Linked DNA regions of Macaca mulatta. The protein of the gene in region 1 interacts with the protein of each later gene in a biochemical or structural test. Links are inferred from orthologs where the notes say so. Each region holds a gene or a part of one and is shown in the gene's direction. Other genes may lie near its edges.

Region 1 (3,643 bases):
ACTGTGGATGGCGGTCGGTCGTGGGGTCTGATGTGTGGTGACTGTGGATGGCGGTCGGTCGTGGGGTCTGATGTGTGGTGACTGTGGATGGCGGTCGGTCGTGGGGTCTGATGTGTGGTGACTGTGGATGGCGGTCGGTCGTGGGGTCTGATGTGTGGTGACTGTGGATGGCGGTCGGTCATGGGGTCTGACATGTGGTGACTGTGGATGGCAGTCGGTTGTGGGGTCTGATGTGTGGTGACTAGGTGGTGGACGGTCGTGGGACGGTTGTGGGGGTCTGATGTGTGGTGACTGTGGATGGCAGTCGGTTGTGGGGTCTGATGTGTGGTGACTGTGGATGGCGGTCGGTCACGGGGTTCTGATGTGTGGTGACTGTGGATGGTGGTCAGTCATGGGGTCTGATGTGTGGTGACTGTGGATGGCGGTTGGTTGTGGGGTCTGATGTGTGGTGACTGTGGGTGGCGGACGGTCGTGGGACGGTCGTGGGGGTCTGACATGTGGTGATTGTGGATGGCGGTCGGTCACGGGGGTCTGATGTGTGGTGGCTGCAGGTGGAGTCCCAGGTGTGTCTGTAGCTGCTTTGTGTCCCCGGCCCCTCAGCTCCCCTTTCCCAAGCTCCCCGGGGGCTCCCTGGGCTTCCTCCTGCCATCGGGCTTGGCTTCAGGTCCACGTGTCCTGGTTGGAAGAAACAAGTGCCCAGCTCTGGCCAGGGTGGGCCACATTTGTGGCTCATGCCCTCTCCTCTGCCGGCAGGTCTCTACCTTGACGGACCTCCAGCCGTACATGCGACAGTTCGTGGCTCACCTGCAGGAGACCAGCCCGCTGAGAGATGCCGTCGTCATTGAGCAGGTCTGAGCACTGCCCCCAGGGTTGGGCATGGACCCCAGCAGTGGGTCCTCACCTGGGGCATCACTGGGCTCATCACCAGGCAGACTGTTGGCCCTGGGGGGCGGTCGGGGGAATGAGCTGTGGTGGGGGCATGAGGAGCTGTGTGCCTTGGCGGAATCTAAGCTGGGCCGGGCTGTGACAGCTGCTGCATTCAGGCACCTGCTCACGTTTGACCACTTGGCCTCTCTCCAGCCCCGCAGTGACTTTATTCATGATTTGCTAAACGTCTTCTCTGGCAATTTTGATCTTGAGGCCAAAGGAAAGGTGTCCCCCTCCTTTAGGAGGGCAGGCCGTGTTTGAGCCGCATCCCACCGAGCTGGCCCCTCAGTGCTGGGTGCGAGGCCAAGGGAAATGTGTGCCCCTTCTTAGAAGGACAGGCCGTGTTTGAGCCGCGTTCCGCTGAGCTGGCCCCTCAGTGCTGGGTCTGTTCACGTGACCCTGTGGCTCTTTGCAGATGCCCGTTTAACGCTTGTTCCACTTTAAGGGACAGTCGTGTCCACTGAGTGAGGCTGAGAGACCTCTGGGCAAACTTCCTTGGCTCCCAGAGTGGGGGTGGGGGTGGCGTGGGCTCCTGGGACCCAGACCCAGTGCCCGGCAGCCGGGCAGCAACTTATGGATCACGTGTGCCATCTGGGCCACGGTGGGCTGTGTGGGTCTGAGCCCAGCTGGACACACAGGTGGCTCAGAGGGGATGTTCTGTGTCACACACTCTGCCTAAGCCCCTGTGTGTCTGCAGACTCGGCCCGGCCAGCCCACGATGGCCCTGCATTCCAGCCCAGCCCACACTTCATCACGAACACCGACCCCAGAAGGGATGGAGGGTCTTGGCCACGTGGTCCTGCCTATCTCGGTACCCACCGGCTCACTCTCGTGTGTCTGTCTTCTGCTTTCCCAGAGTTCCTCCCTGAACGAGACCAGCAGTGGCCTCTTTGACGTCTTCCTACGCTTCGTGTGCCACCACGCCGTGCGCATCGGGGGCAAGTGAGTCGGGTGGCCGGGTGCCATTGCCCAGCGGGTGGGTGGGCGGACTGGCAGGGCTTCTGCTCACCTCTGCCCTGCCCCTTCCCCACTGCCCTTCTCCCGGGGCCACCAGGGTCTCCTTTTCTGGCCCCCCACCCCTCCGGCTCCTGGGCTGCAGGTGCCCAAGGCCCCGGGAACATGGCCCAGCTTGCAGCTGCTGGAGCAGAGCAGATGCTACGTGAGGCCTGGAAATGGCAAGCGGGGCGTGGACTTGCTCCTGTGCGGAGGACGAGGGGTGTGGGGTGTGTCTGGGTTGGGGGTGCGGCTGAGCGTTTGAGCCTGCAGCTTGTCAGCTCCAAGTTACTACTGACGCTGGACACCCCGCTGTCACACGCTGTATCTCTCTCTCCATATACAAGAGGATTTTATCTGATTCTCATTCCCGTCCCTGTCGCGTGACTCCCGCAAGGGCACGGGCTCTTCTCTCTGTGGCTAGATTTCCCATCTGGAAAGTGGGGGGTTGACCGTGTAGTTTGCTCCTCTCGGGGGCTCTGTGCTGGCCATGGGGCAGGTGGCCTGGGATAGCTCAAACTCCTGACCTCAGGTGATCCACCCACCTTGGCCTCCCAAAGTGCTGGGATTACAGGCGTGAGCCACCACGCCTGGCCGGAAAGCTTCTTTTTAAGGTGACCGCCTACAGCACTTCCCGAAAATAACAGGTCTTGTTTTTGCAATAGGCTGCAAGTGTCTCTTAGCAACAGGAGTGGGCATCCTATGGGCTCTGGGGATGGCCGAGGGTCACGTGGCAGCCATGCCTTCTATGTGCACCTTCAGGTTCCAAGGGGCTATTCTGCTCTCACTGTTTGTCTGAAAACGCACCCTTGGCGTCCTTGTTTGTTTGGAGAGTGTCTGCGTCTCGTTGGTTGTGGTGAAACCAGGGGCAAGGCTGTATGGGTTGGCACACAGCTGCTACATGTAGGGCTGTGAACTTTCACCGTGGATAAATTCCTTGAAAAGAAAGGAGTCCAGTTAAGCATTCCTTCTGGGTCAAGTGTCTGGTTCTGTGAATAAACTCGAAGATTTAAGAAACCTTAATGAAAGAAAGCCTTGATGGTTGAGAACAAGGATGTGGTCACAGCTGTGGCTGGATCTGCGCTAAGCCGCCCCAGTTCGCAGTGAGAGTGGGCGCGGGGATTGTGTTCAGAGGTCTCGTCTGGTGTGTTTGTGAGGTGTTTGCCGGCTGAATGGTAGACGTGTTGTTGTGTGTGGAGGTGATGTGTATGAGGGTCTGTGTGTGGTTCTGTGTGAGTGTACACATGTCCACACATGCCCCACCCATCGCTTACCTGCGTCTTCCCGCCCCAGGTCCTACGTCCAGTGCCAGGGGATCCCGCAGGGCTCCATCCTGTCCACGCTGCTCTGCAGCCTGTGCTATGGCGACATGGAGAACAAGCTGTTTGCAGGGATGCGGCGGGACGGGTGAGGCCTCCTCTTTCCCAGGGGTCTTGGGTGGGGGACGATTTGCTTTTAACGTGTTCAGTATTAATATTCCTGGTGCTCTGGATATCATGACTGCTCTGTCTTGAGGAACCAGACAAGGTTGCAGCCCCTCCTTGGTGTGAAGCCACACAGGAGGGGTTGCACAGCCCGAGGACTGCGGACTCTGTCCAGCGGCCATGTCCAGAGGCCTCGGGGCTCAGCAGGCAGGAGGGCCACTGCCCTGCATGACGCACGTGTGAATTCAACACCGAGGAAGCACACCAGCTTCCATCACATCCACCCGGGTTCCTTTAGG
Region 2 (3,743 bases), on another chromosome or scaffold:
CCTCCAGCTCCCAGGTTCTACCACGCCTGGTTAATTTTTGTATTTTTAGTAGAGACGGGGTATTGCCATGTTGGCCATGCTGGTCTTGAACTCCTGGCCTCAAGTGATCCGCCTGCTTCAGCCTCCCAAAGTGCTGAGATTACAGGCATGAGCCACCACGCCTGGCCTTGAATATTTCTACAGTGATGGAATGTACATATTAATACAGTGGGTCTTATTAAACACATGCTGCCAAGGAGAAGCAATGGGTATTCTTCAAGTGTAAAGTAGAATCCTAGGCAGTCTAGGGAGTCAGGAAAGGCTTCCCTGAGGATAAGATGGAAGAGGGACTGAGGGCCCAACGTGGCTGAAACACAGAGAGCCAATAGGAGCAAGTCCAGTTACAGAGGGCCAGGATTTGGGTTTTTAACCATTTAATGATTATAAACTGAGATTAACATGCTCAGATTTCGACTTTACAAAGATCAGCAAGTATAATGGATTGGAAGGATCAAGAATTAATCCCAGCCTGACCAACAACCTCCACTTCCTCCTCCCAGCAGTTTGGAATCCTTACCTTTTGCAGTAGTATACGTTCATTCATTTATTATGCATTCGATAATATTTACTGAAAGCCTACTATGTGCCAAACATTGTTCTAGAGGTTAAGAGGGGACAAGAGCAAACGGGTCAGCAGCCTAGGGGTGAGATGGGGTCAAAAGGACAGCAGGTCAGCTGGAATGAAGACAAGACCAGTGGAGCGCCTTTAAAGGTGCCTTGGACTGGACCGATCACCTTCTAAATGCCTGAGCCCGGAAAAATCACTAAAACCCTTTGGACTTACGTATTTCCATCTTTGTAAAATGGGAACCTACCTTGCAAGGGATGTTGCAACAATCGAAGAAAACTATGCACAGTGCTTCACATCCAGTGGGTCCTCAGTAAATAGCCTAAGAATGAAGCAAGGTTATGGTTACTTCTGGAAGAGGTGGCTTGGGGGCTGCGACAGGTGCAGCGATTGCCTGATGATAACATCTAGAAAAGCCCTTGCTGGGCAGAGGGGCAGGCGACGACCTCGGCCACTCAGCGAGTCTCCAGGTTTCCCGGAAACGCTAGCTCCAGTGACTTCTCAGACGCTCCTACGGGACCGCACCCAGGGCAGCCGCCGCCACCACCTACTGCAGCCGAAGCGGATGGACCTCGCGACTTACCCTGCAGCCGCTGCCGGGGCCACAGCGAGGTCACGACTCCCGTGACGCATACGCAGCCAGCACGCACGCGCGCGGCGTGGCCCGCCCCCGCCCACCCCGGAGGCGGGGCCGTGAGTCCTGGGCTCCGCCCCGGAGCGTCGGGCCCCTCCCAGGGCCCCGCCTCCCGCTCGCCAGGGACCGGTCGCAGCCGGCGGCTCGCCTGCCAAACCCGGCTGGGAACGCCTGGGCGCTTTTAGGACGGGGCGGGCCCGGGGGTGGTGGCCCCAGGAGCGGTTGCCGCGGGGACCGGGCAGTGACGCGGCCCAAGGGCGGAAGTGAGAAAGTTGTCTGCGTCTCTAGGCGAGTTGGCGGAGCTGTGCGCGCGGCGGGGAGATGGGGGGCTCGGGCAGTCGCCTGTCCAAGGAGCTGCTGGCCGAGTACCAGGTGCGCGGGACGCCTGGCCCTAGGGAGCTCGTGTGCCGGCCTGTTCCCCGGAGCCGGGTCCGGAGCGGGCTGCGGGGCGGCCGCGGCCTCCCAGCGGTCCGCTAATGCCAGCTCTCGCTTTGCCTTCCAGGACTTGACGTTCCTGACGAAGCAGGAGATCCTCTTGTAAGTGCTGCCTCCGACCCCGGGATCCTCTAGAGACAGCTTCGGGGGCGCCGTCCCAAGGGAGGGGCGGGGGCTGGCCTGAGGTCTGCAGAGGACCGGGAGCTGGAGGCCAGGAGACCCAGCCCGGGCTGCGCCCTTCTCCCGGCACGCCCTCCCCGCCCTCGCCTGAGGCCCCAGCGTGGCACCGCGGAGCCACCTCACAGCCTCCAGGAAAAGTTAGGCTCTCTGACCCTGAGCTCCACTAGCTTCAGCACTGCCGAACTTCCTGCCCCAGTCCGGCAGGGGCCGACCTTGCCCGGTGGCTAAACCACAGAAGCCTTGGGGAGCCTGGCTCTTTCTCCCAACTTTACCTGAATAATACAGTAACCGTTATCGCTTTCTGAGCACTCACCATGTGCCAGGGACTGTGCTACATTGTTGCCTGCATTACCTAATTTAATCTTTAGGAGAGAGGTATTGGACAATGAAACAGGTTCAGAAAGGTTTGGTAACTGCTTAAGACAACACTCTTGAGTAAATGGATTTGAACTTGGGCTGGAAGCCCTTTTGCCAGATTTTATGCAGGCCAGGGCACTTTGAGTGAGGAGGTGCCTGGGCTTCCTGCGGCAATGGGAAGGAGGCGGAGGCCGAGGAGGAGGACAGTTCAGGGTGGCTGCTAAAAAGGAGGCTTTGAGGGCAAGAGATCCCTGGAGTGATGGTGAGAATGAGATTTTTGGTTGTGCTCTTTTCTCCCTGTTTTTGTTTTTTTTTTTTCTCTCTCTCTCTTTTTTGAGACAGAGTCTCGCTCTGTCACCCAGGCTGGAGTGCTGGGGCACGATCTCGGCTCACTGCAGCCTCTGCCTCTTTGTTCAAGTGATTCTCCTGCCTCAGCCTCCTGAGTAGCTGGGATTACAGGCAACTGCCACCATGCCCAGCTAATTTTTGTATTTTTAGTAGAAAAGGGGTTTCACCATGTTGCTCAGACTGGTCTCAGACTCCTGACCTCAAATGCTCCCACCGCCTTGGACTCCCAAAGTGCTGGGGTTACAGGTGTGAGCCACCATGCATGGCCAGTTCTTTAGGGCCAACTTCTGGCCTTTTCCCCAACTCTTCATCCCTCAGGGATCTCTAGAATCAGTGCCCAGCACATAGTAGATGCTCAGTAAATACTTATTGCAAGAAAAGACTCCTAGGCTGTACTGCCTTGTGACATGTCCTTTTGCTTACTGTTGCCTGATGACTCGGAAGTTCTGTGCATGTGGTTTTAGCTCCTCACCTGGTTGATAATGAGCAGCAGGCAAGGAGTGGGAATGAACACACAGGGAAACCAATCGCTGAGAACACCGACAGTTCCCCTCTCTCTACCAGAGCCCACAGGCGGTTTTGTGAGCTGCTTCCCCAGGAGCAGCGGAGCGTGGAGCAGTCACTTCTGGCACAAGTGCCCTTCGAGCAGATTCTCAGCCTTCCAGAGCTCAAGGTGCAAGCGCTTCCCCTGGTTGACACCTCTCCCACCACTCCCTCCCTGCTAGACCCCCTAACTCCATCTGCCACTAGCTTTGAGATCATGGGGTCACTGGGCCCCATTCTGGTCATTTTTCTGCTTAGTTCTAATTTTCTGGGGACAAGGACTTGACCAAAATCACCTGGCAGAATTATCTAGAATGGTGCTTTTCAAATGGGGATTCTAGAACATAATCTTGGAAGTTCAGAGAAGTTTTATCCCTTAAGAGGAGTTGAGTTACCTTATTAAAGTTTGAGGAACACTGTTCTAGAGGCTGATTGCCACTCCGTGGGGCTGCTGCGAAATATCTGTGCAAAAGGCCTGGCCCAGTGCCTGTAACACAATAGTTGTTCAATTAAATATTTGTGTTTTAAAATAACCAGCCCATCTCGTTCCCTTTGTTTAGGATGACTTCTTCCCTCTCTGCCCACACTTATGTTGTATGTGACCTGCCTTTGGGTTAAACACTTGACTCCCAGGAAGCC

Evidence for each region. The genes of interacting proteins can lie anywhere in the genome.
Region 2: the proteins of TERT (region 1) and CIB1 form a complex in vitro, tested with the Homo sapiens proteins (2 studies listed by BioGRID). The link is inferred for Macaca mulatta from reciprocal best matches to the Homo sapiens genes TERT and CIB1.

Annotation. Positions count from the first base shown.
Region 1 is NC_133411.1:2,391,963-2,395,605, reverse strand, and holds part of TERT (telomerase reverse transcriptase), read left to right. Parts: intron 1-753; coding exon 754-849; intron 850-1,783; coding exon 1,784-1,869; intron 1,870-3,213; coding exon 3,214-3,327; intron 3,328-3,643. UniProt on the Homo sapiens protein: Telomerase is a ribonucleoprotein enzyme essential for the replication of chromosome termini in most eukaryotes. Active in progenitor and cancer cells. Inactive, or very low activity, in normal somatic cells.
Region 2 is NC_133412.1:80,060,792-80,064,534, reverse strand, and holds the start of CIB1 (calcium and integrin-binding protein 1), read left to right. Parts: upstream 1-1,509; 5' UTR 1,510-1,562; coding exon 1,563-1,613; intron 1,614-1,743; coding exon 1,744-1,778; intron 1,779-3,005; coding exon 3,006-3,234; intron 3,235-3,743. UniProt on the Homo sapiens protein: Calcium-binding protein that plays a role in the regulation of numerous cellular processes, such as cell differentiation, cell division, cell proliferation, cell migration, thrombosis, angiogenesis, cardiac hypertrophy and apoptosis.